2 linked regions of the Tamandua tetradactyla genome follow. The protein of the gene in region 1 purifies or fractionates together with the protein of each later gene. This does not show direct contact. Links are inferred from orthologs where the notes say so. Each region holds a gene or a part of one and is shown in the gene's direction. Other genes may lie near its edges. The genes, in order: CABIN1 and UBN1.

Region 1 (11,540 bases):
AACCTACTGCCGGCGGGGCCGGGTCGTGGTGGGCGGGGCCAGGTTCGGGGGTGGGGCTAAACGTAACGGGCGTGGTTACAGTAATCCGGAAGTCGGCGCCTGCGCCTGTGACGGTTATCTGTAAGAGACCAGGGGGTGTGGCCGAGTAGCCAATCGGAGCGGGCACTGCGTCCTCGCTCAGCCAATGAGTAGCTGGGCTTCCTGGCGCCCCGCCCCTGCTCCCTGCTCCGCACGTGGGACGCGACCGGGCGAGACTCCGCGTTATTTTGCCCGACATGCCGTTCCTGGAGCTGGACACGAACCTGCCCGCTAACCTCGTGCCCGCGGGGCTGGAGAAGCGGCTCTGCGCTGCCGCCGCCGCCATCCTGGGCAAACCCGAGGAAGTGAGCGGGGGGCGGGGAGGTTGGGGGGCCCACGGTCCGCATCTCGGGGAGCCCCCACCCCGCCTATCGCTCCCCCTGCCCCTTGCCCCACATCCGCCCTGGGTGGCCCTCCCTAGCCGTGACTCCGACCTGACTTCCAGGGACCCGGCCTGGGATCCCCGCCCCTGCCCCTGCCCCCCGATCCCCGGCCCCAGCTTCAGGGGCAGCTCCCGTGTCCCCGCAGCGCGTGAACGTGACGGTGCGGCCGGGCCTGGCCATGGCCGTGAACGGTTCCACGGAGCCCTGCGCGCAGCTGCTCGTCTCCTCCATCGGCGTGGTGGGCACGGCCGAGGAAAACCGCGGCCACAGCGCCCGGCTCTTCGAGTGCCTCACCAAGGAGCTGGCCCTGGACCAGGAGCGGTGCGTAGGCGCGGGGCGGCAGGGACTGGCCCCCGAGCCCCTCGTAAAGTCGGGGGTTAAATGCCTGCCTTGATCTGCCCAGGGTCACCTGTGCCTGGGGCTTCTCAACCTGCCCCTCAGACCACTCTCCAGGGGCTTTTAGGGTCACATGGGACTGATCTTTGCACCTTGGCAGAATGTTCCTCTAAAGTAAGCAATCATCTGCCTTCAGGCCTCTCCAAATCTTAGAAAATCTAGATTTTCTTTTTTCCCCCAGACTAGTGATGGGGGCGGGATTCTGGGTATGTCTTGAGCTGTGACCTTTGGGCCTGTTGCCCAATTAGGTTCTAGGTGGAGGCTCAGGGAAGGGTCACAGAGTGGTGTAAAGAGCACTGGCCTGGGTGTCCTGGGCCAGCTCAGTTGGGGGACCCCAAGCATATCCCGACAGGGCCCATCTCCAGTTTGCAGCTTCCTCATCTGTGAATAGAGGGGCAGGGGGTAGATTAGATGAATCCTTAAAAGACCCCTACAAGTCCCAGATCAGGAATTCTGGGGCAGGGTTAAAATTTCCTCCTGGATGAAAAATACTCCTGGGGCGGAGATGGTGCCTATGGGGAACTAGGGCTGTGAGAAGCTTGAAAGTGCTGTCCAGAGCAGAGCCTTTGGTGGCTGCTGCTGGTGGTTGCTCAGATACCCTCAGGCTGGAGGGAGAAAATAATTCTAACCCCAGTACATAACAAGCTAGTGCTTTCCAGGTTCAGGTTCTTCATGTGCGTCATCTCATCTGATACTTACAGGCTGTTTGTAAAAGATGGTGGAATGCGATGCACCAGAAATGGAAGAGCTTTTAAAAAGGGACTTTATTAGGTTACAAGTTTACAGTTCTAAGGCTGTGAAAATGCATATTAAGGCAAAGCAATAGAAATGTCCAAACTAAGGCATCCAGAGAAATGTACCTTGGCCTAAGAGGGTAGATGATGTTCAGAGTTCCTCTATCAACTGGAAAGGCACATGCAAATTCTGATAGCTTTCATTCCTCATTTTATAAGGCTTCCCTAGGAGCGTTTTCCTTCTTCATCTCCAAAGGTCTCTGGCTGTGAACACTCTAGCTTTTACCAAAATGGTTCCCTCTTAAAGGGCTCCAGTAAGCAACTCCACCTTGAGTGGGTGGAGACACATCTCCATGGAAACCACCTAATCATGTTACCCCCCACAGTTGGGTGGGCCACATTGGCATGGAAACAACTTAATAAAAAAGATCTCATCCAACAATATCAAATGAGGATTTAAGAACCTGACTTTTTTGGGGTACCCAACAGATTCAAACTGGCACACAGGCCTTCCCCATGAGATAGGGACCTCCATCATGCCAAGTTTACAGACGGAGATATCAAGGCCAAGTCGCCTCTTTCCTGCTGGGCTACCCCAAACCCTGGTGGTCTTCCCCAGGAACTTCCTCTTAACCTCTGTGAATGAGGAGTATTCATTCACTCCAAAAACATTAGTGGGCATGCTACCCTGTCTGGTGTGAGCTCGGCTTTGAGAAAACAGGGGTGGCTGAGGCAGGGTGTGTGTGCCCCCTCACCCCCAGGGTCTTTGCAGCTGCCTGTAGTCTGAAACAGAAGAGAGGGCATATGGGACTCACCAGGAGGCTGGGTTCTTCCCTAAGTGGGCCATGCTGACATCGTGCAACCACTTGCCCTGCCAGGCCCACGGCCCCTTGGGGGTGGGGAGTCAGTGATCATTCCTGGGGTGGGGGTGGGTGGGTGAGGGAAGGCTGATAAAATGCCATTCCAGGGGTGGGCTGAGGAGGGCTGGCTGGGGAGCCCACTGTGGACTGGCCTGCCTAGGGATTTTGGAATATGAGGCCTTAAGCAGGGAGCTGATGATCTCTTTTTGTCCATCTGAAGGATCATTATCCGCTTTTTCCCCCTGGATCCCTGGCAGATTGGCAAGAAGGGGACGGTCATGACTTTCTTATGATTGTCGCGGACAGGACTCAAGGCCTCTGTGAAGCTGTCAACCCTTCCAGAGAGGCCTCCTGGCAGAGTGGGCCTCGGGGTACTGGCTCCTGGTGCCCTGTTGTATAGCGTGCCTGTTACCTCACAGAGTTCCCCATCTCTGTGTCAAATAAATGAAGAAAGAGTCATCTTTCAAGCTTTTCTGTTTTAAAACTTTTACTACCTTCCCCTGTATCCCTGGCCACCCTTTTGCTGCTGTTGGTTTAGGAGGAAGGGACCTTGGAGAAACTGAAAGGTGGGCTGTTTCCTGTCTTCAGGGCTGCTGTGTTAATACATTTGGGCTACTCTAGTCCTAGGGGCAAGGTCTGGCCCGGAGCCCCATCTTCCCACACTCACGTGCAGGGCTGGTGGGATGGGGCGGGCAGCTGGGCCAGCCTGGGCCTTCCTGCAAACTCTGCTGACCAGTTGCTCCTGTCCTCATCCTCGGGTGGCCTGGGCAGTTCCTGCAGTTCCTGTAGGTCTCGGGACGCTGTGCCCACAGGGGAGCTGGAAAGGGTGTGCTGCAGGAACCTTTCCCTCAGCATTCCCGAGCGCCACTTTCTTCCTTGACTCTTGGCTGAGATTTCCCTGGAGCCGTGCACCTCGTAAAACCCATATCCCAGGATGCCAAACCTGGAAATGCTTTTACAATGGGGATGTATTAGCTCACACATTTACAGTTCTTAGGCTGTGAGAATGTCCAAAATAAGGCAGAACGGGACGATACCTTTGGGACTGTGGCATAATTTTATTCTTGGCCTGGTAGCTTAGTCTCTTTCTCTCCCTCCCTCGCCATTTTGGCACGTCCGGTTCTTCTAGACCTCTGAATTACAGGCCTCACCGGCGACTAGTGATGATGCAGCCTTGTCTCTCTAACCCTATTGGTCTTCTCCTTAGTCCTCCACCTACCCAACATCCTCTGCTACGGGTACACTCAGGAACAGCATCTCTATGGTCACAGTCACTCATCCGTCCTCCCTGTGTGATTGGCTACCCTCCCCTGGAGGCCATGCCCTAACTCCGCCTCTCCTCAAACTGTATATAATCCAGGGCTCACCGAGCCTCATGGTCTTTAGCTACTGGCGGTCCTGGCATAAGCGTCTACCAACAATAAAGCTACCTCGCTTCATGCCTTAATTGGCTCGGCCTCCAGTCCTTTAGACCCGCAGCGAGGTCTCCTGCGCGCGCACCTTGGACCCAGACCCCCCGGCTCGAGCCCCTTTTCTACGTGCGGCAGTGTCGTCTAGCAAGCAGTGAGAAGCTGAGGAGTAGAGGTTCCCCGATAGTTTAGCGGTTGGGCCAAATCGCAGGGACACCTGTCACATGGCAGGCGTCTGCTGGTCCTTCCCTCCGAGTTTTATTGCTTTCAGCTTCTGATTCCAGTGGCTTCCTCCCTTAGCTTCTTTGGGGCTTTTTCTGTGAGTTTCTCTTAATTTCATTGCTCATAAAGGGCTCCAGGAAGGGGGATTAAGACACACCCTGGTGTAGGCCGCAACTAAAATAGCCTAATCAAAAGGTCCACCCACAACAGATCTGTACCCACATGAATGGATGAAGAGAACATGGCCTTTTCTGGGGTATGTATAGCCTCCAAACTACCACAGTGGTTCACATAGTTTAATACATTTAGTTTCCAGTGAAATTTGCCTGTGTCTGTACTTGACCGATTAAAAGCCAGATCCTGGAGTGCCCCTCACTTGGCTCCCTGCCCACATTGCTTCTGCATTCGTTCCTTCTGCCAACACATTTTGTGGGTCTCCAGCTTCCCAGAAGCTCTCCGGGGATGTCTGTGGGTTGAACATGAATGAATGTTTGCCATGCCCCAAATGGGATTTTAACCCTCACCTCATCAGGGCCAGACAACAAGTCTTATCTGTTCCTCCTCTGCCTTTTTTTTTTTCCTTCTTTAATAATGCACAATATCTATGACACAGAGCACCATTTACTTTGGGAAATGATCTAAGAAAGGCTCAATTCAAAGGAAATAAACACTGAAGGTAGTAGCAATAACCTTAAGGTAGTAGTAGTAGAAGGTAGAAGGTTGTAGTACTTAAAGAGGAGTACTTAGGAAGAGAAGCAGCCACCACCTTGTTCATGTTATTCAGGTTGGACTAAGTTAAGGATGCAGCAAGGAGTTGGGGAAATACCCCATAACAAGGAAGTATTCACAACCTAAGGGGAAAGGCTCTTTGACACTGGGGTTATCATCCCCTTCACAAGTGACACCCCTGCCCAGAAGTTATAGCCCTTAAGTCAAAAGATAAAACCTTCCAAAGAAAGTGACCATCTGCATTTTCACCCCTCCCACCCTCCAAGTACAACAGGCCTTGGTTGGGTATATCTTCAAGTTAAGATAAACCCATCTGAGTGACCTATTTGCCAAAGATGTTAAAGTCCACCGCCAAAACTAACAGAAAGGCAGTCATTGTGAAAAAAAAACCCAAAAAATCAATTCCCAGGAACTCCTGAAATAAGCCTCTTAATCCTAGAGTGGCCTCATCTGTTCCTTGAAACAGAACCTCTTGGTATTGGCATAATTCAAAGGCAACAAGAGTTGTCCATAGACCTTTAAAGATGTTGGTTATCTCTACTAGAAAGAGTAATAAATTGGAAGTGTGTAAGGGAGCGTAACTGGTTGGGATTCTTCTGCTCCTAAAAGTATGACTTAAGCCAATTTTGTCAGGTTCTTCCTTTGTAAAATAATGCACAATATGCCAACACTGCTTTGAGACAATACATTCTAAATCAAGTGCCCTATAATGTGCTCTATTATCTACACCCTCAAAACACAGAGATAAGTCAGGCATTTTTCAGAGGCAAGGATTTCTGCTCTGACAGGCAAAAAAAAAAAAAAAAAAAAAAAAAGCGCCTTAGGAAGACTTAGGGGCTTCAAATCAAAGACGATTGGTCTAAGAGACTTATTCCCCCTCCCTGTAAAGTCTCTAAATCCCATGCATTCTCCATTTTAAGAAGTCCATCACCCATACTCAATCCTTGACACTGGGGACCCAACCAGTGGGAACAGAGCTGGGAGTTGAGCTAGCAACTCACCACGGTTACCATCCCCTTCACAAATGCCACCCTAGCCACAGGAGCTATGGATCTTAAGAAAAGATAAAACCTTCCAAACAAAGTGACCCATTTTCACCCATCCGGCCCTCCAAGTACAACAGGCCTTGGTTGGGCATATCATATCTTCAAGTCAACATAAACCCGTCTAAGTGACCTATTCACTAAGGATGTTAAAGTCCAACCCCAAAACCAATAGAAAGGCACCAGAGGTGAAGGAGTTGTCTCTCAAACCCACAGCTCTCCCTTTAATTATCCAACCCGGTTTTCTTTCTTTCTTTCTTTTTTTTTTTTTTGCATATAACCTTGTGTTCATCCCTCTTTACAGCTCCCTATCCTAAGCGGGTGTCTCACTACCCCCCACCCCCACCCTAAATCTATCACCCCCACTATAATCATCGCTGTCATCTGCTTGCTCGCGTGGACTCGCAAGGGCCACGGAACGGGTGAACGCGTCCCCGGGGCTCCCGGACGTGCCCCTCAATTCCCTCGGCCCCCGGAGCCCCTGCCCCAGGTGGTGAGGACGATACACCCCATCATTCACCGACTGCCCCGGGCTGGACACTGAGCTCGGCGCCCCAGGAGCCTTTCGGAACCCGGACCCCGAACTCTACAACTGTAGCGACAAGGCAGCCCGGGGGCGGACACGCGCGCGTTCCCGTCTTCCACGGCCGGGCGGGCGCACGCCGCGTACGACCCCGTTGACTGGCTGGCGCGCCCGGCGCTGAGCCAATGGGAGCGAGCCTTGTTGACAGGCGTGCGGCCGGCGGCGCGGGGGTCCGGGCGATCGGGCCGTTGCCGTGGAGACGCCGGGTGAGTCCCGGGACTGCGGCTGTGGGGGTGGCCCCGGGTTGGGAACGTGGCGCCGCGGGGCCAGGAGGCCGGAGCACGAGCCGGAGGGGTGGACTGCATGGGCTCGAGACCCGTGGGGACGCTGTGTGTGTGTGGGGCGGGTGGGGTCCCTGTGGCAGCCCCGGTGCCGCAGTCGGGGAAGCCAGTTTGGGTCCAGGCCTCCTGGCTGCCGCGGGGGCCTCTTTCTGGCTCTCCACCGCCGCCCTGGGTGCCTAGACCGGCCTCCGGCCTCGGGAGTGGGTCCCAGGGACGACGGCAGGACCCACCATTGAGGCGGCGTCCCGCGGTTGCAAAAGGCTAACCTTTTACTCCGCATCCTTTCGCTTCACTTTGCGGCAGCCCCCCGAGGTGAGTGCTGTTTGTTCATGTCGTTTCCAGGGTTGGAAACAGAGACCGAGGGAGGTGAAGTGACTTTCCAAGGTCACCTAGCCAACCCATGGGCCAGCCTGACTCCAGACTGAAAATCTTGACCGTTTTGCTGCACTGGTTTCCGGGGATGGAGTGGGGGATACCCTGGCTAGCATATTCCTGACGCCCCACTGATGTTGGCACATTGAGTTTGGGGAACCACTTAACTCTTCATGATATTACATCTGAAACTGGAAGGTCGAATTCCATGCAGCTAAGGTTCCTTCTGTTGGGACCCAGAACTGGGTTAGGACTGGAATGGCCTTAGAATTGCACTGGTCGGGGGTCTGCAAAGTTTGCTGTAAAGGACGAGCTAATAAATATTTTAGGCTTTGCAGGCCATAATCTGTTTACTCAATTCTAGCATTCGAAGTAGCCAAAGATAACCCACCCAAAGGAGTGGCTGTGCCCCAGTGCAATTTTATTTATGGGCATGAAAGTGTCAGATCATTTGCATCTGTCATTCACGTGTCTGCCATTTAGAAATGTAAAAGCCATTCTGTGCTGGTGGCTGCACAGGAACAGCTGGTGGGTTAGTTTGCAGACCTCTGGTCTGGTCCAAAGCCTCAAAAGGTAAAAGAAACACATCCAGAGAGGGGCATCTTATGCCAGGTCAGCTAGTCAGCCAGGCAGTGCCCCATGTGGGTTGGAGACCACTCAGCGTTAGGTGCTCCAACTGAAATGTTCTTTATCATGTCTTCTATAAGGCCATTGGGAACCTGCTAGGTTAAACCTGTGAATGTGCTACTCTGCGAAAATGCAGCTGCTGAACTGGAAGTCCAAGAAACGAACAGATAATTCCTTTCTCCTCTCCATTTGGTAGCTGCTGCTTATTAATTAATTAAGTTTTAAAGAGTTCAACTTTTTATTGAACACATGACACAAAGGGTTTAGTCCCAAAGACCAAAGCCCATGTCATCATCAGACTACAACGATTCTTCTTTCTCTGCTTCCATTTTCTTCTCCTCGGCTGGGCTTGCTGGGGAGAGTGGGCAAGAATCCCCGCTGGGGCAGCTTCACTAGCTCCTACGTAGCACACGAGGCTCCCCATACTGATCCTGGTCAGGGCCTTTACAAACAAGCTGGGCCAGAAGGGTTTGCCATTTGCACCCAATATTTATCTTTCGTCCCCTCTGTGATGGTGACCTTGTCGTGGCAGAGGATGGAAGGCTGAGTAGATGCCGGTGGGCCTGGAGGTGGAGCCCGTGGTGCCAGTCCCTGTAGGTGAGGGCCTCACCCCGATGCAGCCTCTGTTTCCTTGGAGAAACTGAGCACGTTAGTGGCTGTTGAGGAAAGGGACTTGCTTTTGGTTTGTAAGCTCCTCTTAGTGGATTTCTGGGGTCCCTGGTGTACATGGTCCGGGCCTCACATTTCTTACAGATGCTCAGTCAATAGTCTCAAATGATTATTTATTTGAAAACTTTTGATTTTCAACTAACTTTTGACTTAAAGAGAAGTTGCAACAATAATACAAGAGTTCCTTTATGTGCTTCACCCTGCTTGCCATAATGCTAACATCTTACATCATCTGGGTACAGTTGTCAAGAACAGGAAACCAACACTGATACACTGTTATTAAAAATGATAGCCCTAATTCAAATTTCAACAGTTTCCCCATTCGTGTTCCTTTTTTTTATTCCTGGATCTTAACCAGTAACCCATGTTGTATTTTGTTATTTCTGTTTCATCTCCTGTCCTCTGAAATGGGTGCTCAGTCTCTTCTTCTCTTTCTTGGCCTTGATGCTTTTAAAGAATACTGATAGTTGTTTTTGTCTAACGTTACCTTGGCTTAGGTTTGTCTGATATTTTCTCTTGAGTAGAATGAGGGTGTGCATTTTTGGACAGAATAACACAAAATGCAATGTTCTGTTCTCGGTGTTTCATCTCAAGGGGTTCATGATGGCAACATGTCTCACTGCTGGAGTTACTTGTTGAAGTTGGTGTCTGCAGGATTTCTGCCTTAGTGGAAATACTTTGGTAGGAAGTAAATTCTGGTTTTCCACAAACTTAAGCCCACTAACTTTAACATTTGGATCTCATGTACACATAAATGTTGTGTATTTATTGCTGTGAAGTTTGCTTCATGGTGATTCTCTATTTCCCTCGTTCCTTCTGCTTTTATTCATTGAAATTTGATGGTAAGAAGAGCTGTCCCTTCTGTCTCAATTATTTATGCATTTGCTGTTTATTTGAGTTTTTAGGGGCTATGGGTATTAAGTGTATAAAGTGAGTTAAAATCCAATATTAACACCATTTATTTTGTGACTCAGTTGCTCTGCCCTTTCAATGAGCTTCCATTCTTTAAAAAAAATTTTTTTGTGTGTAATATAACAAACAAAGCAAAGAAAGAAAAGAGGAATAATTTTCAAAGCACATTTCAACTAGTAGTTTCAGAACAGATCCCTGAGTTTGTCATGGGCCACCACTCCACCATCTCAGACCTTTCCCTCTAGTGCTCCCAGACACTGGAGGCTAGAAGGAGCATCAACATGGTGATTCAGCAGTCATACTTGCTTGCCAAGTCCCATTTTCCTTGCTCTACCTTCTCCTTCTCCTTTAATCCTTCTCCCAATTTATAGGAATCTTTGGGGAATATCTGCTCTGATTTTTCATGTTGAGAAGGGGTGTCGACACTAAAGGATAGAGGGATGAAATAAATTGATAATCTTGGAGAGGCAGGATTTATCTGACCCAGTAACTCTCAGGAATTATATGTCCCAGGAAGGCAAACCTAGTGCATGAAACCTTTATATAGAGTCTCAGTTCGAGTCCCAGGTGTTCTTAAGAGCCAACAGGAGTGAAGTTGGTTGGGGTTTAGCAAACCATGGCAATCACTGCTATCTAACTGAAGCTTGCATAAAAGCAGCTTCCAGAACAGCCTCTTGACCCCTCCTGATCTCTCTTGGCCACTGATGCCCTGCTTTACTATACCCCTTTCCCCCATTTTGGTCAGGAAGACGTCGTTGATCCCATGGTGCCAGGGCCAGATTTATCTCCAAGAGTCAAACCCCAGTTGGCAGGGAGATTTGTCACCCCTGAATGTTGGTATACCACGTAGGGAGGAAGGCAACAATTTTCCTTGCAGAGTTAGGCATAGAGAGAGAGAGGCCACATCTGAGCAACAAAGAGGCTTTTGGGAAGCAACCGTTAGGCCTCGTTATGGGTGGTCTTAGCTTCTCCCCAACAGAAACAATTTTCGCAACAGCAAGCCTCAAAATCCAGGGCTTTAGTTGAAATTAGGCCTAAGAGTCACCCCCAAGAGAGCCTCTTTTGTTGCTCAGATGTGGCCTCTCTCTTCAGCCAACACAATAAGCAAACTCACCGCCCTTCCCCTGTCTGCATGGGACATGACTCCCAGGGGTGCAGACCTTCCTGGCAACGTGGGCCAGAAATCCTAGAATGAGCCTAGACCACTTGTTCCTCCGTAAAAATTAGCTGCCCCTGGTAATTCTGTGGTACTGTTGATGTCTTCCTGTTAACTGTAGGCCGTAGCGTGCATTTTTAGTTTTCCGCCTTGTATCCCTCTACTATTGACTTTGTCCACTATCAAACCTGTGAAGTAGTTCTTGCAAGAACTTATTTATAATTGTAGATTTAATCAGTGGGATACATGGCACTATACATCCCCTTTCAATCATGTTCACCTTCAATATGGCAATGTTACTTATAAACCCTCTAATTAGTTACTGTCACTTCTATCGATTTCCTTGCATTTCATTTCGACCTCTGGGTAGCCTTTCCTCCATCTCTAGCTTTATTGTACCTCTACGTCTGCTATATTCTATGGTGTAACCTCTGAGATTACCTTTATCAGAGTCATTATAGTGAAACCATACAGTATCTGTCCTTTTGTGTCTGACTTACTTCCCTCAGCATTATGTCCTCAAGGTTCATCCATATTGTCATGTGCTTCAGGACCTCATTTTCTTACTGCTGCATAATATTCCATCATATGTATATACCACATTTTCTTTATCCACTCATCTGTTGATGAGCATTTGAATTGTCTCCATCTTTTGGCAATCGTGAATAGTGCTTCTTCTGGTTATATACCAAGTATTGTTATTGCCGGGTCATAGGGCAATTCAATATTTACTTGTCTGAGGAATTGCCAAACTGTCTTCCTTAGTGCTGTACCATTATGCAATCCCACCAACAGTGGATAAGTGTTCGAATTTCTCCACATCCTCTCCGATATCTGTAGTTTTCTGTTTGTTAAATATCAGCCATTCTTAAGGGTGTGAGATGATACCTCATTGTCGTCTTAATTTGCATTTCCCTTATAGCCAATGAAAATGAGCATCTCTTCATGTGCTCTTTAATCATTGGTATTTGCTCTTCAGAAAAGTATCTATTCATATCTTTAGTCCATTTTATAATTTGGCTTTTTTGTTCTTTTTTGTTGAGTTGTATGATTTCTTTATGTGTACAGGATATCAAACCTTATCTG
Region 2 (11,499 bases), on another chromosome or scaffold:
CTCAGCTCACCAGAACAGCCACTGACCAACCCAGTGTAGGGGCACTGTTGCCTTAGTCCAAACACTCTGCAACAGTGACCCTCTCTATCCACTTGGCTCAGTTCTCCAGCTATTACATGGTGGCAAACACAGGGTGAAAATAAAAAGAGATGCTTCTGTAGTTTCAACTTGCTTTGCTTCTAGTTATGAACCGTGGTAGATTTTTCTAGGAGTGTTCCCTTAGGACTGACTCAGACACCTCACACTCAGCCAGAACTTTCCCACCTTTTCTCTGGAAGATGGCTTGGTGTAACAAGTACCCTGGGCTGGGAATCTGGACATCGTAGTACTTAAATCCTGAAATCGCCTTCCTCTCAGTGTCTCTGTTAGAAAAGGAGGTCCAGACCAACGAAGTTAACCATTTCCTACGGGCTGTCAAGAGAGCTCTCAGGCAGTCATTTGGGATCAACCCCTCGTTTGCCCAGCACCTGAAAGCTAATAAACACTCCCTCCATCTTGCCATCCATAGCCACGAATGAAGCTTTTGAACTCTAAGCGCAGTTTCTACTAAATAGGTGACCGCCCTCAAAGTAGACAGACCCCTGGGTAACAAACAAATTAACAAAATTAATCTTTGGATGTGGTCACCTGGTGGAGCTGGCAAAATTAAGCTGAAGTTACTCTTCCTGCTTGGCTGCCAGGGCTCTGAGAGCAGAATACAACTAAGTCTATCCATCCCCTACCCAGGCCTCCCCACCTCCTTGGAAAAGTCTGATCCTAACAGTGGGATTCAACACCATCACAATGTGTTACATTTTGGTAGAGATGGGGAGAGAAGTTTTCTGTAAGACTGAAATCATCATATATCCTGTCTTAATAGCTATCCTTTTCACTCTTTAATAAAGGGTCTTCTTGATAGAAAAAAATTATTTTTTTTCCTGTAAGTAGTATGTAGGTTCTGAAATTGAACATTCCTGATGAAATTGTCTTAAGAACACAGGAACAGCCAAGCTGAACCTCTCAGACCTTATCCACTCAGCTCAGAGTTTCCCACCCTAGGACATGCCAGGAGCGCGTGCTTTTCGAGTCTAGCTTCTTCTGTAATCACTATGGCATTACCTGTCACAAATCAGTTCTCATTCTTAAAAAATTCTCTTGTATTTCCTGGCTGTACCAGCTCTTAAATGTCTGCTTTCTATCATATTCCCTGCACTTGTCCTGCACATTCTTCTATTCTACTCAAGGTGCCCCTCACTGAAATGTCTGAGGGTTTATGAGCAAGTCAGTTTTTACCTCCTTAAGGCCACTCATGACTTTGTGAATTCCAGTTAAACTTGTTTTCCAGTTGCCACCTGCTTTTGCACCTGAAAGAACCCTACTCTTTTGTCTGACTCGGTTCCATTCTCTGGATCTTGACTAGATCTCTCAGATCCTTTTGGAAGCATGAAACAAACCGCATGTAGTATTCCTGGAGAAGCACATCACGGTTTAACTTAAAGGTGGAATAATATACTGTTTTGTGTTCAAAGCCTTACTCCTTAGAATCTCCAATTCTCAGATTCCTCTCTTTTCCAATACACATACACACACCCATACATAAACACATACCCTCACGGGCACAGTCTCTCACTTTTCCTTAAAAGCTTCTGCTTCTGTTAAAATTCAACACCTTTCTCCCATTTGGTAACAGATATACACTTTCACCCGATATTTGTTAAGCATCTGCTATGCACCAAACCACACTATACTTAAGTGATCCTATTTCTTCACTACTACGAGGAAGAGGTACTATTCCCACAGTACAGGAGAACAAAGGCACATCAGGCTAGAAACAAATCCAGAGCCCCTGCCCCAAAGCAATTCCATGCCACTTGTCCAATTACAGAAAGCATAAAGATACTAAATAAAATTCGCTTTAAAACTGATCACTAAGGAACCCATCTCCCTTAAGTGAGCCTTTGTTTCCTTTCTCTAAGTTAACTGCCTATTCACAAAAGGTAGTATGTTAGCTCTGTGGTGATTTAATTTTAAACAGCTTTTTAAGGGGACCTCTAGCAAGGGAGTGTAAAAGGCTTACAGACTTACCTAGTAGTCACTCTGTATCCACCTGCTTAAGAAAACTCAGAGAACTTCCTCGGTAGAAATCACATCACTGCCTCGTCCCCACTGCTGACACCTCCAGGTTATATTCACGTTCCATGAACCTGGTAAGTGCTGAACTTCACTCAATTCCAATCTCCTATGACCTAATGCTAGCATTTTGTTAACACAGGGGCCACAGTTCATTTTTCTAGCCTTCCTGCATTTTTTTTAACCATCACGAAAATAATGGCTTTTAGGTTCCCTATAAGTTGATTAACTCCCACTTTCTGTGCATTTCCATTTTTGTTTTAGACTTGAATAATTCTTCATTTAGTTAACTGAGTTTGGGCCAACCCATATTGCTTCTGTTATTCCCAAGCACAAATTTTTCACTCCAAGCAGGGAGCCTCTCCCTGCTGACAATGGCTGAATGCAGCCTTGTTCATGGTATCCCCACTGCCTGGAATGCTTTTATCATACCTGTCCATCTAAATTCTATCCATTCTTCAGAGCTTGATTCAAATCCCATCTCTTCCTTCAGGCCTTCTTTGACTTCACTGTCTCCACTGATCTCTTCCTCTTCTAGAATCCTTTCGTAATTACCTCTGCACTCATCTACACATAATCCTACCTGAATGTTTATGTCTTTACTACCTAAGGAGCTCCTGGAAGGCTGGGACCACAAAGCTTGCTTTCCTGGGAACTCCCTTTAGAATGGAGCAATGCAGTGTAAGGATTAACAATGAACACTTGTTTTGTGCATAGGATGGTCTTTCTTATGGAATTCGTGGCTTTATCTCTTCTAAAGGGTCTCTGACCAGTGACTCCCTTGAAGTATCCCCACCACAGATCAGTTAAGTTGGTTTGTGAGAGAACTGAGTGCTGGGTATGTCGATATATTTGTGTGGTTGAGGGAGACACACACAAATGGAAACACACAAATACTAAGTCAAAAAAATACTCTGATAAACAAATCCTGAATGAGCCAAGAACATTACTTATAAGGGGTTTTCACATTTACTATATTGCTTTCTAGGAGTGTATATTTTAACACTCCAACATCAGATTTATTGGAAAAATTAGACATTTTCCAAACCTAAAACCACATTTTCCTTCAAGAATCATAAAAAGAAACATAACTACCTAGAGTGCAAACCATTTACTAAATCCAGTTAATCACCTGGATGTAGTGAAGAGAAAGCTAAACAAATCACAGAAAACTCATGTAATATATACTCTTTCCCTCATTGTGGCTTCTTATATGGCCCTGGAGAGTGAGGTAAAAGGATTTCAATCTCAAATTAATGGCCCTAGTTTTCTCAACTCTAGGACATATCTGGTTAAAGAGCTTTACTAGGGCAGGCCACGGTGGCTCAGCAGGCAGAGTTCTTGCCTGCCTTGCTGAAGACCTGGGTTTGATTCCCAGTGCCTGCGCATGCGAAAAAAAAAGCTTTACTGTTACACTGTCAGGGCAAATGACCTAGTTTTACAGAAGAGAACAAGACTTAAAATTAAAATTACTTTTATTAAGATAAAAAACATTTCAGTTTTCACTGTATGTGTGATGCATGAACTACAATGGTATGCAGCCATTAAAAGAGAACCAAACATGGCTCTTATAAAAGGAAGTGCCCGTGGATGTAGACAGACAGATGTGACAAGCTAACTGAATGGACTAGTTTATTTAGAAGGTTCTTACCTGATTGAAATAGTCATCAGCACCAGGATAGGTGCCCACGACAATTTCTATGCAGTAAGAACAGCACCTTTCGTTTAGGTATGAAGCCAGGATGATATGCTACTCTTACAAACTACAGGATAAAACTGAACCAAGATCCTAGAATGTTCTCAGAGCAGCTCAGGCCCAGGGTAACATCCAAACAAAGGCAAAGTGAAACTCGTGATGAACATTACTCACTGATCTTCTGTTCCAAAAAACTTCACAAAGAAGCATTTCTTTCCACGTGGTTTCTTCAAGTCCTTGGGTGGATTAACAATCTGGGCAATAAAAAGAAGAGGTTTGATGGCAATATAGTTCACTACAAAGTAATTTTCCACAGCTCTAAACTGGTAAGAAAAAATAAATAAATGAGGAATATGTATTTAAAAAAGGAACCCTAGGGCCTAATACATATCCAAATCTGGCACTTTTCTATTGAGATGTGTGGAAATGTGCAAATATTCTGCAGGTGTCCTCTACCTAACATATGGCACTGAATTCAGCAGACCCCATATCCCGTTTCACTGCCATGGCTCCATTTTAAAAACAGCTCAAACTAAAATCCACATCTTTTCCTCCCCAAAGTGATCCTGTCTCATCAATGAAGTAATGCTGAGGACACTCTTAAAAATACTTCTTGTGCAGGTGGAGTTCATGAGGCAGGTAACAGTGAAAACAAAGGATAAGAGGCACTGAAAATGCCACATTCCAAAGAGACAGTCCAAAGATATTTACTGGACTGCTAACAAGAAAGTAAAGACAGAACGTTGGAGAGCTATGATGGACTGACTTGTGTGTGCAGAAGCTAGAATGTCAACTTTTGCAAAGATGCATGGGAGCAAGCACACATGGTAAAATGAAAAGAAGACTTAAACTTCGTTAGCACAAAAATACTTTGACTTTTTAACTAACCTACATTTAGATTTCTCTCTTCCTGGATAATTGCTGTTTGTGATTAAATTTAAGTAAAAAGGTAAATTCCAATTAGAATTGGTTTTCAGAGTTAAAACAAAAAAGACCAACACAAATCAGCTATGAATCAAGAAATAAGTGCTGCAGATTAAATGACATGGCTTATATTTTCTTTTCTAAATGAACTGACAGCTCAGAAAAAAAATTGTGAACAAACGTTAAAAATTCAGAATAAATGTTATTTAAATGGGCCGAGTTTTACTCAAATTAATGCTAGAAACCAGGAGGAATGGATTTTACATTCCCCACATACCCAAACACAACTTCAGATATCTTCCTTTAGAAGCAAAAGACACTCACCTTTCCTGGCCAAGGAGGATACCTGCCGAGTTTCCCCCTAGAGAAAACACAAAGAGTCAGGCACTTGCCTTGGGAAAGCCAGTCCATCTCCTTCAGCCCACGCAACCTGCAATTTACTTTTCTAAATCTCGGCCGGCACTCTCAAGAGCCAGAAAAAAGCTGGCAAACTGGAGTTCTTAATTTGACTTCCACAATGGGCCTGAGATGGCCCCAAACCCTCAGAAATAGATACAAAATTATATACATATGTGCACGAAGAGCTAGGTGCATTCCTCTGATGACAAGGAACAGAGAAAAACCATGAGACTTGTCCAGTCTCCTGGACACTCGCGGATGGAGGGCAGTTTCTTCCGTAAACACAGACTTCCCCTTCCAAAATCTGGTTTAATTCACCACGAGACCAAGCCGGCTTTGACAAATGCTAACGAAATTCTTCCGGGGAATCGAGAAACGAGCTACGCAGCTCCAGGGAGGCGGCGACAGTCAGTCTTAGTTCGAGCGGTTGTCTGGGACACAGACGCAGACCACGAAAGATACCCAAGAAGGCATTCACTGTTCACTGCCAAGCCTTCGCTTGTAAAGGAGAAGTACCCCTCCATTTCTTCACCGAGCAGCGCCAGTGGTCCGGTTTCGACATCCCGGGTCGAACCGCCAGCACAAGTCGGATCCATCGCAACGCGGAGGTTTTGATCCGCCTGCCCGGTAAACTGGCCTCACGGGCTCCCCAGCTGTCCTGCTTTTCGGGGAGCCCCACCAAGACCCCAGCCGTGGGAGCCGTGTGGCGGCCGAATGCTCCCTGTACCGTGGCCGCCTAAGTCTGGGACCTGTGCACAGGCCTCCCTCGGGCGGCTTCGGGGCTCAGAGTCGAGCTCACCGCGGCTACCCTCGGCCTCAGTCCCCCGGGGCCGAACTGCCCCTTCCGCCCGGCGTCGCTCCCAGCGCTGGCACTTAGTTTTCCCCTCTCTTCGCCGCCTAAAGCGCAGAGAAGGGCAGCTCCGGGGCTGACTGTGAACCCCGTACCCAGAGAGCAGCACCCCAGCACCTCGCTTGCCCCCGGCCGCCCGGACTCACCATACCAAGTCGCCGAGCCGCAGACTCACAGCCGCCATCTTACCACCCAACCACCACCGCCGCACAGGCCGCCGGGAACATCAGGTCGCCTCGACACCGCCCATTGGAGTGAGGAGGACCACGTGATGAGGGCCGGCTGTCATCGGCCACGCCGCTGCTCTGACGTCACTGCGCCCTCTATCTCTCATTAGCCGGTCGAGCGGCACGTGATTCGGGCGCCGCGGTCTCCGCTAGCCGAAGACCCTAGACTCCCGGCTCCTTCCCCGCCTTCCCCCCCGCCCCACCTCCTCGGCTCGTGACAACGAAGCGCCCGCGGTCTGAGGCAGCGGCGGAAGCGACGACGTGCGGCTGGCCGAGCGCGTGAGGGAGCCGGCCTTGAGGCCCGCCCCGCCTCCCGGGGCCCTGGACTCCAGCCCCCTCCCCCCTTCGGCGCTTCCGTTTCGGCCGTTAGTTCCGCGCGGGCCCCGGGGCCATTCCCGAGCCTGAGGCGCCGGCCGGCCTCGTCGCTGCACCCGGGAGCTCCCCTGACGGACCTCGGCGCGGCCTGGAAACCGGAGCCAAGGGTCCCGCGACCGGTGGGCTCTGCTTGGCCTCAGCCCGGGTCCCCCCTCGTCTCCGCGCCCCGAGCTCCCGGGGGCTCCGAACGCCGCGCTTGTTTGCGGGCGAGGGGGTCCGTCCCGCCGCCGTCCGGGTGCCTTGGCGCGCTCTCGCGGCCGACTTTCGCGCGGCCAGCGGTTCGGGTGCGGGTCCGGCGCAGCAAGTTCTCCCGGGGCGCCCGCTGGCAGCCTGCTCCGCCGCCCCCCGAGTTGCTCCGCGGACCTCGAGGCGGCACTTCTGCGCTTTCTTCTTGGCCGGCTCGCGGCACGGCCGACGCGGCTGTCCCGGGCGCGCGTGGACCCGGTCATGGGCCGCAGCGCCGGCCGGCCGCCCGCCGGGAGCCATGCCTCGGAAGCCGGCCGCTAGCCGCGCCGCCGCTTGGGGCCCCTGGCCGGCATGAGGACAGCCGCGGGGGGACGCGTGCGGCCCGCGGGGCCGTAGCCTGCGCCGGCGCGGGGGACGAAGGTGCGTGTCCGTGTACGGACCGGACGCTCACGTAAGCCTCGTTGTAGTTTGACACTTTGGAAGAAGTTGGGATCAGGCGGTTGTGCCCACAGGGAGTCAGATGCCAAGCGTGGTGTCGACGCATGAAAGTTAAACCGTTAAAGGGAGACTCTCAGTGGCAGTTCGGCACAGCGCCTGCCCAAACTCCAGGGTACCTGGTAGAAACAAATAGAATTTTCGAAAAGCTCCCAGTCCCGGTTTCAGACTCCGAGGAGTGATTTTAGCGCTTGATTTAGAACCGGAGTTTTCCGGAGTTAGCGATTTCCTGGAAAAGGTGCGAGGTCCACGCGCGCATTTCGCGTATGTGTTTTGTCATATCCAGACTTGGTAAGTGGGTTTTTATTTTAGCTTGCTGAGTTGGCCTCAACGCCGGGTTTCTTAGATCAGTTTCTCTGAAGTACCGTGAGCCAGTTTCAGGAAGTGTCATTTATTGTTTTGTTTTAAAGGTAAACTGGTTATTTAAAGCGTATTTAGGATTCCAGGAAACAGTCTGATAAAATTAAACGCATTCGTAATTTACAAAGTCTTATAATTTGAAGAATTGAAGGATATTTAATAACTTGATAAAAGAGATAGATGCCTTTTAAATTACTGTCATGCAGGCTCTAGAAGCATTGCCATTAAGGTTATAATCATGGCTAAGAATATTTGTCTTATGTTAGCCTGGAAGTTTTAGCCAATGCAATAAGGCATGAAACAAAAAATAAGAAATATAATTTTTCAGGAAGGGGAAGACAAACTACTCATTTCCCGGGATGATAGAATTGCATATTTTGAAGAAATGAATAGTCGAGGAAAACCAGTAAAATTAGAGTTAAGAAAAACTAACTGCAAAATCGACAAAGTTCAGTTTTCTGGTTAATGGGTTCTGTTTACAATGACAACAACGAAAAGCTCCTGGGAATAATCTGAGATACAAAAGGAGGCGTGAGGAAATAGATGAAAGTGCCATTCTTGTTTAATTTCAGTTGAGGTTTTTTAAGAGGGATGATTTTGCAGATAGAATTTTACTCATTTTGTATTATTTATAAATAACAGGACTTTTTAAATAAAAATACTTGATCTTTGACAAAAGTTCAAGTAAGAAACCAGTTTAACATATCAAATTTCCCTAAATAACTCTTTTTACAAAGTTCAATTTTCTTTAGCATATTACTCTGTAATTAAAATTTTAGATGCTTGATTCTTGTAGATACTTCAGACGTCTAAAAAAGTAAACTTAGAAACCTAACATAAATGTTTCTGAGGACTTAAGCAATTGTCATTAAGTCTAATAAACTTATAAATGGAAATCTGGTTCTTTTTGAAAGAAAGTACAGGGCAGGCAATGGTGGTATAGTGGCAGAATTTTTGCCTGGCATGCTGGAGGAGACCTGATTCCCGGTGCCTGCCCACTCAAAAAAAAAAGTGCAAACACTTTCACACTTAATTATATTTTCTTAAGCATCTCAAATTAAAATTGTAAATCTCACAACACTCATTAATGTCCAGTTCTCTTGAATGTTTCAGATGGCCTAATAAAAAACAATAATACAGTATGATGATTACAAAACTTCACCCAAAATCTAACCCATGAGTCTTAATCTGCTATATCTTTGATTTGCTTTATCCTCTAATTCTGTTTCTATACCATTGGCTTCTCAGGCTTCAACGAAGAAGTGGTTGAAGTTTAGGTGGGTTGAAGTTACGATGTGTAAAACAGACCAAGATAAGGCTACATTTTAAAATCTCTTACTGGACAGGGACACTAGCATTTGCCTGGTTGCCACTCCCGGAATGACCTTCTTGCATCCCATTGATTAACTTGATTCTCTTCTTAGAGTATTTGTCTGCTCTATTAGAAGGGACCTTTAAACTTTTCCTTTCAACTGAGATGTAATTTGACAACCTTGTGAATCAGTATGTCCCAGGTTTTGTGTCATAATGGAAAATAAGTATTGGATATATACAAATGCATATACATATATGGATTTATAAGAGATATATATGAGAAATAGCATCTTCTTGACAACTCTCACTTATGATTCAGTTACAATAAAAACTGACAGCCCCTTTGGGAGAACTCAACAAAATGTTTCTAAAGTTCTGAAATAATAAGTAGGCTGGAGTGGTAGTGGTATTTTTAAAGAGTGATAAGAGCTTTCAGTTCAAGATTTTAAAATATTCCGTATAACTTCAAAACAGTATGGTATTAGTTAAAAAAAATCTTAACTACTACATTCATACAGCAGGATGGATTTCAGTAATAGACCATAAGAAACATGGGATTTTACTAGATGATGTATGCCAAATTGGCAGGGATAAGAGGGATTATTTAGTGATTGATACTGGGAAGAATCAAGTTAGGACCTCACGCCATAGCTTATAGCATAATATATTCCACTTGGGTTAAATAGTTAAATGTGAAAAGTATATAAAAGACTGTGTAGATAAATTCTTATGTGAGATCTGGTTGGAGAAGTACATTTTAAGCATGGAAGAAACAGGAGAAGTCACAAGGGAAAAAAAATTTTGAGGGCATAGAAAGTTTTCAGCTTGCCTCATTCTAAGTAAAATTTAAATAGGGAATAAGCCAGGAAGAGTACTTGTGAGAGATTAAATGATTTATAATAATGATTTATGTGATGAGGCAAAGGGATATTTATCTGTAATATATCAAGGAGCCTCACAAATCAATTTAAAATCTACAATTTATTCAACTGTTCCTTTATCACTGGACATGTGGGTTGTTTCCACCATTTTCCCCTATGTAAACAAGGTTACAATGAATAACTTTATTGAAATAAAAGTTCACATTAGGGTGTAAGTTTGTAAAAATAGGATACAATTATTCCTGTAGCACAAAAAAGTACATAATGTATGTTTGCATATTTATGTTCTCTAAACCCTTGGAATTCTTAGATTCCAAATCTATGTTGGACGTTCCCACACAATTGTGTAGTTCTTTGGCATGTGATCATTTGTCACTTTGTTAAGGCCCACGTTTGAATGGGGAGAGGGCTGGTGGTCAAGTGCCAGTGACTTTGTTAGAAAAATAAGTTTAGCCATACATACATCACTGAGATGCTGATTTTTTGCTTATTCCAGGCTAGGTAATAACTTCCATGATGTGATGAAAACTTTCATTGTGAGCATTGGCCCCAAATGAAAGTAAACTACTGGTGATGAACATAAAGAGCTCTTAAAGTGGCTGTTCTCTGTTGGGGGGAAGAAAAGTGTTGGATAAGTTAAGAAGAAAGCAGTATTTTGTAGTAGTAGTTGCAATTTTGGGAATTCTTAAGGATTTGTCATCATGGGTTCTCTAATGTCAAGGATCGGCTATATATTTGTAGAAAAAGACTGGAAAGGAAGTATGTGAAACACTGATTATCTCTGATAAGATTTGGGTTTTCATATGTTACATATGAAAAAAATATATTTAGAAAGAATATTAAACAGAGAAGTACAGTTAATGGCAGTTGAATTTTAACAAGGGATTCTTCCCCGTAATGAAATTTTTTAAAACTTGTAATTGAGCAGAGAAGTCATTATTTTTTTTCATCTTGATTTGACCCAGCCCTTTTTTCCAATGTTAACAGAAGCCATGCAGTGACAACCACCGACTTGTTGGTAGCCATGTCGGAGCCCCACAGAGTCCAGTTCACATCTCTCCCAGGTTCTCTGAGTCCAGCATTTTTGAAGAAATCCCGGAAAGAAGAGGCTGGGGGAGCAGAACAGCATCAGGACTCTGAGCCGGCCGCAGCAGCCGTTCGGATCACACTCACCCTCTTTGAACCAGATCACAAGCGTTGCCCAGAGTTCTTCTACCCAGAACTAGTGAAAAATATACGAGGGAAAGTGAAAGGCCTTCAACCTGGAGACAAGGTACACCTCAGCGTCACTGCAGATCTGAGGCATGGGTGTCACTGTGTGCAAATGCGGGTCCCTTAGGGTGGAAGCAAGACTGGAGAGTCTTTGACTGTCCCAAGGTCAAGTTACCCATCCCAGGGCACAAGAACCAGGCTTGATGATTTTGCCTCTAGGCGTGAAGGGATAGAATTTATGTTAGTGAAAAAGGTGTGGCACATCCATGGCTAATTGGAATTATGGCTAATTAATGTAAATAAAAGGAACCACAAATTTTTCATGCCAAGTCTGTAAGTATTATACGTAAGTGGGACCAGTCCCTGACTGTTCCAGTGAAGGAGCCTGATCCATGCTGGTGTTTTTCTTTTCTGAGGGATTCTTACTCTGCCTTTCTTGCCAAACCAGAAAAGACAAACTGTTCATCTCTT

Evidence for each region.
Region 2: the proteins of CABIN1 (region 1) and UBN1 purify together in Homo sapiens (affinity purification with western blotting; 6 studies listed by BioGRID, with this or other methods). This does not show direct contact. The link is inferred for Tamandua tetradactyla from reciprocal best matches to the Homo sapiens genes CABIN1 and UBN1.

What each region holds. Positions count from the first base shown.
Region 1 is NC_135331.1:25,629,323-25,640,862, reverse strand, and holds the start of CABIN1 (calcineurin-binding protein cabin-1), read left to right. Parts: upstream 1-6,572; 5' UTR 6,573-6,643; intron 6,644-6,652; exon of another isoform or gene 6,653-7,030; intron 7,031-11,540. Other genes in the region: DDT (D-dopachrome decarboxylase), read left to right, coding at 276-383, 607-782, 2,672-2,744. UniProt on the Homo sapiens protein: May be required for replication-independent chromatin assembly. May serve as a negative regulator of T-cell receptor (TCR) signaling via inhibition of calcineurin. Inhibition of activated calcineurin is dependent on both PKC and calcium signals.
Region 2 is NC_135349.1:52,235,892-52,247,390, reverse strand, and holds the start of UBN1 (ubinuclein-1), read left to right. Parts: upstream 1-7,093; 5' UTR 7,094-7,186; exon of another isoform or gene 7,187-7,217; intron 7,218-7,248; exon of another isoform or gene 7,249-7,552; intron 7,553-10,803; 5' UTR 10,804-10,840; coding exon 10,841-11,089; intron 11,090-11,499. Other genes in the region: GLYR1 (cytokine-like nuclear factor N-PAC), read right to left, coding at 3,980-4,059, 5,054-5,090, 6,125-6,162. UniProt on the Homo sapiens protein: Acts as a novel regulator of senescence. Involved in the formation of senescence-associated heterochromatin foci (SAHF), which represses expression of proliferation-promoting genes. Binds to proliferation-promoting genes.